Drosophila melanogaster: one gene and its partner. The protein of the gene in region 1 purifies or fractionates together with the protein of each later gene. This does not show direct contact. Each region holds a gene or a part of one and is shown on either strand. Other genes may lie near its edges.

Region 1 (4,996 bases):
ATATATAAAATGAATATTGAATAATACTGAATGAAGCCAGATACTCACACTGAAATCCGAACGGGCAGAGCCAGGGGTAGTGCTCGAGATCGTCGGGAATCGGTGTAGGACCTGGAACGAGAACGCCCATGAGAACGACCACGCGAGTGACCACGGGAGCGACCGCGAGACCGGGAACGATCCCGCTTGCGGTCATCTCGCGTGTGTCTTCTCCGCGGCATGTGCCCCTCCTTCTCCGCCAGGATCAGCTCGCAGTCACTGTGGTCGGAACTGGAACTGGAAGATGAGCTAGTGTGATGACTATGACTATGATGTTTGCGTCCTCTGTGTCGTCGTTTACCTCCATCGGAGCTGCGGTGCTTGGACTTGGTCTCCTTGATGGAGAGTTGAGATTCCTGCTGCTGCTGCTTCTGGATCTGTTTCATCACATCGTTCAGCATTTTCTGGGCCATGTTGGCCTTTCGAATGAGACGCTCCATCGACGGCAAGGCCATGTCCTCGACTTCCACGGGCGTGGCATTTGGCAATTGGCCGCGGCATCCTTGACATGCATCCGGCCCTGCATTTGCCGCAGTTTGCTCACGTGCCACGTTATCGGATTGCGACATTTTTGCACTAGTTTACAACTGACCCGATAAGAAATTCACTCAACACTTTAATTACTGATTAACTACTGTTTCTCTGAACTGGATATAACTGCTGCGGAATCTGTTGCTTATGTTTCGACTGCTTCACTTGAACACTTGAATTTGACTGGCTTCTGCGGCATTCGGTCGATGAGCTTTTATAGGCAACTTTGGCGCCAAGCTAATCGCGACTTTCGGACTGTAAACATTTGCCTTTCTTTATCAGTCACATACTCATACAAACCACACGATAAATGTGACGTCATCTGAGCTATTTTTAACCAAATCGCATTCATGGGTTTTTGGGAAATTACTTCCATTGATCACGTGTTTTTAATGTTACATAATTTCATTGCCGAACGTAACCTCAAACATATTTCATATTTTTGCGAAATTCTTCTTACTTTTGTATTTCTGCATATTATATGCATTATAAATATTCTGCGTATTTTTATAAGCATACCTTTTATTATTTTTTACGATTTTGTGAAATATGACATTATTTTGATATAATTTTAATTTTGAATTTCGTCCAAGTGTGTAATTTTAAAACAATTATTTTATCGTTTTAAATCATCGAAAATTTTAAGAATATAAAGTATTAAGAAATTTACACAATTTTTTGAAAATGTTTTGGGATCTTAATAATTGCATAAATCAGGTTTAGCACATTATTTTAGAAATACTAAACGGTTAAATATTTTACAGAACTGCTATTTAATTTTAAGGTATAAGACTACGTATAAGACATTACCGCTTGAGACTAGTATTTTTATTGTGGTATTTTCATGATTGCTTTTGAATTGTGCCCGCCAAAATATGCAGTCTTAACCACAAGCGGTTAAAATCATTCCTTACGTTTACTTATATTTAAAAATCGACAAAAGGTATAATAATTCAAAACTATTAAAAAATTTTAAATAAAACTAAACGAGTCTAAGTTTTCTTAATCAAAATAGCTGTTAATATGGATAAGATATATTTGGCGCATCCAATAGATACATTTAACCGCTGAAGAGAATTAACAGTGTGATACGCCAGACTGTTAACAGACTGTTAAAACGCGATTTCCCGGCTTTGGTATTTTTACATTACCATCATTTGGTTTCTCTGATATTTTAAAAATCTATATAAGCAGCTCGCAACGCATTCTCTCTGTAATTTTTCGGGAGAGCGCAGCAGCGCGCGCTGTTTTTTCGGTTACCATTAAAAAATATTATTAAAGAAACATCGTTATAACTTTAATGCCAACGGAGTTGCGGCAATTGAAACTGATTTTTTAAGCAAACGAACAATAAATTCGACGTGGAGTGTGCTTCTGCTCGCCTACATGAAGTAATAGCGATGTATATTATGATTTAGTAAATATAAATCGATTTAATTAATATTTAAACTTGTTGTTTTCCGCGAGTGGGCGCGTTTTGTTACCAAGCCGCTATACGATTTTCGTTTTTCCGACTTTCCTGCGCGCCGAACGGGTTTTTCAACGAAGCCTTGCTGTCTTTTTCCTCGTAAGCAGCAAAAACAAGGCTGAAAAACTAAATTAAAGCGACTCGCTTCAGCTGCAGATTAATCGATGTGCGGCTATAGACTTTTAATTCGCAGATTCATCATCGATTTTTCCTTTGGGCTCAGCTGCAGTGCGCTAGTGTACGTGTATGTGCGTGTGTGTGAGTTGGTCCTGACAATACAAATAAGCCGTTGTGTTAGGTAAACGGAACAACAAAAGGAAGTGAACCAGAGAGAGAAAGAGAGAGAGGAAACGGCAGGACGATACCGAGTCCTTGAGCGATCATTCATGCTCTTCTTCTTCTCCAGCTGCAGCTGTCACGAAATTTCGCGCGTGCACGTGTATGTGTGTGTGTGGGAGACAGGGAGAACGCCGAAGTTAGTAATTTCTCTCCACTTCTCAGTGTTTGTGCATTCAATTTGCACAAAATTGAAGCGACGCGCTAAATTCGCAAATTTCCGTCCGCGAATTGCCATCCATTATTTTGCACTCCCCCCCAAGAGAGCGAGAGCAATAATAGAATTATCAGGCAAAGCAAAAAAAAAAATCAAAACTCAAGCGAAAAGAGAATGCCCTGGGAGGCCGTAATACCAATACCGCGACCCTCTGACATTTCCATCGTCGCCCACCAAAGGAACAACAACTGAGCGACAAAGACAGCAACAATCCGACAAACAAACAAACAAAACAGCAAACGAGCGAATCAACGAACGAAACTCCAGCAGCAGCCTCAACCTCCTCAACCGCTGGCACAGTTTTCCTCCTTCAACTCCAGCTCCGTGGGTGAGTAGCTACAGTGGAACGCCACTAAGTAGAACATTCTGCGAGTTCTAAGTTAAATTGCAGAGAATATCGCTTTGAGCACAAACTGATTAGAAATTGCCTTCACTTGGTCTTAGAAAGTTTACTAATACCAACTGATACATCGTTTTTTTGTTTGTTAATGTCAGTTTTAAATTGAAATCGATTAACAAATCTTAATGTCCTTTTTATATTTTTTTATAATGGATGTGGGATATGGGGGAAAGGCAAATGGCTCTTACGTGTAAAATTTTATAGTTTTTCCATAGCATTTAAGTACAATTAATTTTCTTTACGAAGAAAATGAAAGTTTTGCTTATGTAACAAGCCAAATTTAAGCAAATATTTTGTTTTTTGTATCAGGATAAAAGTTAAGCTTACCCAATCTCCACTGTAACTCATTGGCGGGTAGAAAGTGGTTATCGAATATGAGCTGCGTCTTATGTTGAAGCCACATCGTCGTGTGGGCGAGAGGGTGGTTGTGGTGGGTCAGAGGTGTGTTGGCGTCGTGCGGCTTTGGTTTTTAGCTGAAATTAAAAAGGTCAGGACCGCCGGACTGAGGGGCTTCCGGATTTTGTATCCTAGCCACGTAGTCCGCTTCATTATGCAGCGTTAACTTTGTATGTAAAAGCGTATATACGTATGTACATATGTACATACATATATGGATGTGGCAAGCGGTGAATATAATTTCAGTTGCATGACTTCGGCGATAATCGATTTTGAAGCGACGAAGCAATCAGGAAGAGTGCAATTTAATGTCAGTCCGTCACTCAGTCAGTCAAACAGTCACAACTTGACACACTGCAAAAAGTTATGCTGCAAAATGGAGGTCAGCATGACGTTTTTGCATTAAAGATACAAAGGGAAATGTAGCAAAAACCAAACTTTTTGCTTAAAAAGTTTGGTAATACTTAATGTTTGCATGGATTTAGGCAAGCAATTGCGTTTTAAGTTTACTTAGAAAAGTATATACATTTGTCAAGTAAATAGTATCAATGTGCTCAATCGATTCCCATTTCCTTGAATTAATAATTGGTATATGCTACCATTTTTCCGGCCTGCTTAAATGGCGTTTACCATATTCATAAGCGCCCCGGTTGATGGAGCAGCGGACATGTTAGCCGTTACTCCATAATGCGACAACTTGGCGACTTGAAGTGGGGGATGTCGTAATGGAGAGTGAGCTGAGGAAATCGCTAATTAAGCATCAATTAGTGCAGTTTCCGGTGCAAGAGCCGCTAGAAGCAAGCAAGCCACCGTTCTTGTACTTTCCACTCGTCGAACAAATCGTGTGACACATTTCGCTTTCCCACACACCAATTGGCGATAGGAGTTATCAGCACTTTTCAGCTTTAGCACTTCTTACCACTTTGGCTGGCCTGCCCCCTATCCCAAAAGATAATAACACATTGCATTTTCAATGTGTTTCCCCTGATATACATATACAAATGTGCCCGATTAGCGGGTATCTCAATAACAATGGCCGTAATTTATGATAAACAAGTTTTTGAAGTGTGCGAAATTTAGCAGCTCACTGATTTGAGCCTGTTTTTGGCGACACACCACACTCCGCTTGGTACCCCTTGTTCAAATGTTGCATTGTTTATAATCAGTAACGGACTCATAAGCGAACACATGTCTGGGTTGGTTTTCAAGGTCAGTTGAATGGCCAGATTCGCCTCGTTTGTGATTTGGCAACCCCATGGAAACACGATAAACGAGGGCAAACAGAGCTGAATTCAAGCTGCAGCCTCATCATCTCGTCTTTCTCCAGACAATGGCCATTCGGCTATACCATTTCAGAGGTTTATGCCTTGAGAGAACGCTTCTGGAGACGAAAACCCGGCCTGGACTGGAACCTTGCCAAGACACACTCGAGACGCGCGTTGACAATGAGCGAGGCTCTCAGGCGAGACTTTCAGGCGTCTCCAGATGCTTTCCATTCCATTCGCTTTGTCTGTGCCGCTTTCGGCGTTGCATGCACTGCGAGAAAAAATTGAATTTGTATGGGTGTTCTATTCTAATGGTTTGGTTGTATGTATATCTACAGTTCACT
Region 2 (5,086 bases), on another chromosome or scaffold:
TTTGCGTTTTATTCGTTTTCATGTAGTATGGCCACACTGCGGCCATCGTATAAAAGCCCGCGCTCTCCAAAGCGAATGCACTAATTTTTCCAAGTGTGTGAAGCGGACAGTTTGTGTTGTGTTCGACTGCTATAAGCGAAAGATAATTTTAAGTTAAAAGTTCAAAAGCCTAAAACAAATACAAAATGAGGGAAATCGTTCACATCCAAGCTGGTCAGTGCGGCAACCAAATCGGCGCCAAGGTAAGTTTTCCCATTTGCATTTTCCATTCATTTTCCATCCAGAGTACAGTTGCCAAAATGGCGTCATTTTTGCACGACTTCGCTGTCCATGTGGCAAAAATTTGTATTGAGGCCGGCATTTTCACACTCACACATTTGCATTTATGTATACCAAGTTGTGTGCGTGTGTGTGTCGAGTGGTCTTTTTGAGTCCCGGCATCTGTGTTTGTATATACCGCATATTTGTCCGATTTCGCAAAGATGCTTGAAAATTGTTGTTCTACTCTGGCATTTGGGGTCCAAAATTTAGAACGAAAGTTTGTTACGCCCGAATTTCCGATCGATATAATGCTTTAGGGCCATTGACATTCGCATATGTACTTCGTGCCCATATGTATGTACATATGTAAGTAATTATAGTTGGGTGTGTCTGCAATTACACCGACGCTGGTGGCTGTGTGTATGCCTGTGTGCGTGTTGCATGCATGAGTCATTTTCTCTTGGGCGAAAGACTTTCATAGTTTTTCACCGGTTGTGAAAGCCATTTCACTGCCCAGATGGTGAAGGGTACTTTTCTATCGTCAAAACACGATAGCTTTTCTACACGCACATAAGAGCTTGCTGCTCATTTGTATGTGTGAGCGTCGGCCGGTTTTTTCATTTAATTTTTTTTTTTTTGCCGCTATGCGTCTTCTAAAGAGAAAACATGACGTCATTTTAACCTAAAATGGCTGAACCGGTCGTCGTTGAACGGTTCGCAGAACGTATAAGAGTTGATCTTATACGTAGATGGGATATAAGTATGTAGATATATGTGTTCGTAGGCTGCATTAGCTGTTCTATTGATTTTCATGCATTCCACACTCTGCTCCCTACTTAAAATTGCGCTACTTCGGCGGCTTCTCTATCTTATCATGGAATGAAACAATTTTCTATTTTTTATTCATGACTATAGTATAGACAGATTTCGGTTCTCTTTCGGCCATTATGTGCCAAAATGAAACTTTACTTTTAGCAGTAGGAATTGGGAGTCTGCAAGGTGAGATGATGACCTTATATAGAGGAATTTGCCATCTGTTTGTCTCTATCCCAGTTTCCTCTCGCACACAAAAAGCAACGAAACCGAGAAGGGCGGTGCTGCACATGCGTGTGGGATAACGGGGCACAGGACACGAAGGTGATGTTGATGATGACGAATCTTTCTAGTCCTTGCCCGAAAAATCAATACCCACATGCTGGGCATGGGCCCATGAGCCGAAAACAACCCTCGGAAACGCCTTAAAACCCGAGCAGCTGCAACATCAGAATTGTTGTGCCCAAGTATGGCTCTCAATATCTCTCTCTCTCGCTTTCGACCCGACCGGCTTACAAATGTGTATTTCTATATTTATATATACACTTTATATACATAGAATCCGGTATGACGGTGTCATTTCGCTAAACGAGTGTCAACCACGCATTTCCTCCAATACCAGTGTAGCGACTTATTTCGGTTAATTGTTTTTATTTGTTTACGCGACATAAACAACGACCATCGCAAAAAGTTCAGGTGACGTAATGCCCTGAAAAACAGACGATTTATGCGCCAGATGGTCGGTAGTTGGAGCACTGAGCTGCAGTTTTAACCTCTCAGCAAACAGACAACGCCAACGCCTCTCTCCAACTGGTACCCACTGCTCCTCCCACTCCTCCTCCGTTTCCCTCTTGCAGAGACGAGAGTGGGTCGCGAGACCCGAACAACCGGTGATGTAAGCCGCATCGGAAGCAGGGGGGCTTTTTGGGGTGGCAGAGCCCGGCTCTGAGGTCGCCGGCATTGCGTGGGGGCAGCACGTAGACATATAGACAGACAGACAGATAGTAGTTATACAGCTCAGTTCCAGCCCACGCCCGAAGATTCGAGTAAGATCGGTCGGCGGAACGCAATGACAGCTGCGCCTCGAGATCCGAAACGAAAACCCACGCCAGATGACGTTATCGTTGGTGTGGCGATGGTGCTGCTGGTCGTGGTGGTGGAAACGCACCAAAAATGGCAGCGAATAAGTTATGTTAATCGGAGCTCGGCCCATACACAGAGTTTATGATGGCGTACATGGGTGGCCTAAACCACGTAGCCGAGCCCAGACATGTGTATGTACATCGGCTGCTTCTTGTGCCCATTTATTCCAATCAATAAAGAGTTATATATAGACTGACTTTCCATAACCCATCACACATTTTGTTCGAGAAGGTTTCTGTATCGAAGTTATCTGTATAAGTTAAGAGAAAAACAAGAAAATAAGATTGCCTTTCACATGCATCAACTTTCACTGGGTATGGAAGAAAAATTTTAAGCAAATTACTTGCAGAATTGGAAATGAGTTTCAGTGATTAGTAAAAGTTTTCTTCAACTGCAGTACTCTTGTGCAAATAAAAGTTACCGTTGCTTAAGCATAAACTTCTTTTGTGATTTATGTGAAGCAGTCAAATAAATACTAGCTGTATATATGTATGCAGCAGATGGTCTAGGCTTTGAGTAATTTTACTACCATTGATTTTCTGTGATGACTCATTGGCCAAGTCATTCATACATTTTCTTAAGACTGAGTTAGAAAACACCCCCTAGTAATCGATTTTCCTGCTGACTCATGTTCACAAGAAATGCTGTACAGCACCTGCAAGTCCTAATCGCACTAATCCCAAATTCTTTACTTCCATTTCTCATTTGCAGTTCTGGGAGATCATCTCCGATGAGCATGGCATCGATGCCACCGGCGCCTACCACGGTGACAGCGACCTGCAGCTGGAGCGCATCAATGTGTACTACAATGAGGCGTCCGGTGGCAAGTACGTGCCCCGCGCTGTCCTTGTCGATCTGGAGCCCGGCACCATGGACTCTGTGCGATCGGGACCTTTCGGCCAGATCTTCAGGCCCGACAACTTTGTGTTCGGCCAGTCGGGTGCCGGCAACAACTGGGCCAAGGGTCATTACACAGAGGGTGCTGAGCTGGTGGACTCAGTGCTCGATGTTGTCCGCAAGGAGGCCGAATCCTGCGACTGCCTGCAAGGCTTCCAACTCACACACTCCCTTGGCGGCGGCACTGGCTCCGGTATGGGAACCCTGCTGATTTCCAAGATCCGCGAGGAGTACCCCGACAGGATCATGAACACATACTCGGTTGTGCCGTCGCCCAAGGTGTCGGACACCGTTGTGGAGCCCTACAACGCCACCCTGTCGGTGCACCAGCTGGTCGAGAACACGGACGAGACCTACTGCATCGACAACGAGGCTCTCTACGATATCTGCTTCCGCACCCTCAAGCTGACGACACCCACATACGGTGACCTGAACCATCTTGTCTCCCTGACCATGTCCGGCGTAACCACCTGCCTCCGATTCCCCGGCCAACTGAACGCTGATCTCCGCAAGCTGGCCGTCAACATGGTGCCCTTCCCACGTCTTCACTTCTTCATGCCCGGCTTCGCTCCCCTGACCTCCCGAGGATCCCAGCAGTACCGCGCCCTCACCGTGCCCGAGCTGACCCAGCAGATGTTCGATGCCAAGAACATGATGGCCGCCTGCGACCCACGCCACGGACGCTACCTTACCGTCGCCGCCATCTTCCGTGGACGCATGTCCATGAAGGAGGTCGACGAGCAGATGCTGAACATCCAGAACAAGAACAGCTCCTACTTCGTCGAATGGATCCCCAACAACGTGAAGACCGCCGTGTGCGACATCCCGCCCCGTGGTCTGAAGATGTCCGCCACCTTCATCGGCAACTCCACTGCCATCCAGGAGCTGTTCAAGCGCATCTCCGAGCAGTTCACCGCTATGTTCAGGCGCAAGGCTTTCTTGCATTGGTACACCGGCGAGGGCATGGACGAGATGGAGTTCACCGAGGCCGAGAGCAACATGAACGATCTGGTGTCCGAGTACCAGCAGTACCAGGAGGCCACCGCCGACGAGGACGCCGAGTTCGAGGAGGAGCAGGAGGCTGAGGTCGACGAGAACTAAATTCGAATCGGAAATCAATCGAATTCTCGATCAATGTTTTGCGAAAAAAAATGAAACGAGAACAAATGAATTCAGTTGTAAAAGATTTGTTCTCTTAACAACGTAATCAATAAAGTCGGATCCAATTTTGTTCACAAGTCTAAACAATTATGGTTTTTGTTGGGGTTTCTTATAATTAATAAGAGAGATATCAATCATTTTACGAGGATTATGAGACTGCGTTTTGTAGTCCAAGAAAGCTGATTAATGTTTAGAGTGTTGGTATAAATGTTAATAGGCTCATTAATGTAGGTTTTGACAAAAGCGAGGTATTTGTACATTTTCTCATTGTATTATTTGGATTCACAAATTTATGTTTATTTAATCGGGTTTCTCCCAGCTAAAAACAATAGAAATCTTTTCACCGGCTGTGTTTGTTTTGGACATGGTTATGTTGTGATGATTGATAATTTCATTCACATTAGTTTATTTATAGACCTTTTTTATTTATTGACAATGATTTGCCCTACCTACCTCAACTTTCGAGCAAATGCTGCATAAACAAAAGTAATTCGCCCTTGAAGAGGACATGACATGATATTTTCAGCGTAGGAAGTGGGCCTACGTACCATTGTGGTTCAGACGGCCTTGTATGCAATAAATCTAATTAATATATATATATATATATATTATGGTAGTCTTAACGCTACGGTTTCCCACACGCGATTTTCATGAAGCTGGAGTGTAAGTTTTTTGTTTTTATTCAAAACTTAAAAATCCACTTTGCATGTGTCATAAATAATGAGTCATGAATCATAACCTTAATTCACTTTAATAAGCATAATTAGTTCGTTGAAATATCTCTATTAACTACTTCTGCGGAGTAGATAAA

Evidence for each region.
Region 2: the proteins of corn (region 1) and betaTub56D fractionate together in Drosophila melanogaster (co-fractionation; one study listed by BioGRID). This does not show direct contact.

What each region holds. Positions count from the first base shown.
Region 1 is NT_037436.4:7,153,859-7,158,854, reverse strand, and holds the start of corn (cornetto), read left to right. Parts: upstream 1-1,781; 5' UTR 1,782-2,919; intron 2,920-4,996. Other genes in the region: CG8620 (uncharacterized protein), read right to left, coding at 45-608.
Region 2 is NT_033778.4:19,446,589-19,451,674, reverse strand, and holds betaTub56D (beta-Tubulin at 56D), read left to right. Parts: upstream 1-2,075; 5' UTR 2,076-2,264; coding exon 2,265-2,348; intron 2,349-2,928; coding exon 2,929-4,215; 3' UTR 4,216-4,356; downstream 4,357-5,086. UniProt on the Drosophila melanogaster protein: Tubulin is the major constituent of microtubules, a cylinder consisting of laterally associated linear protofilaments composed of alpha- and beta-tubulin heterodimers.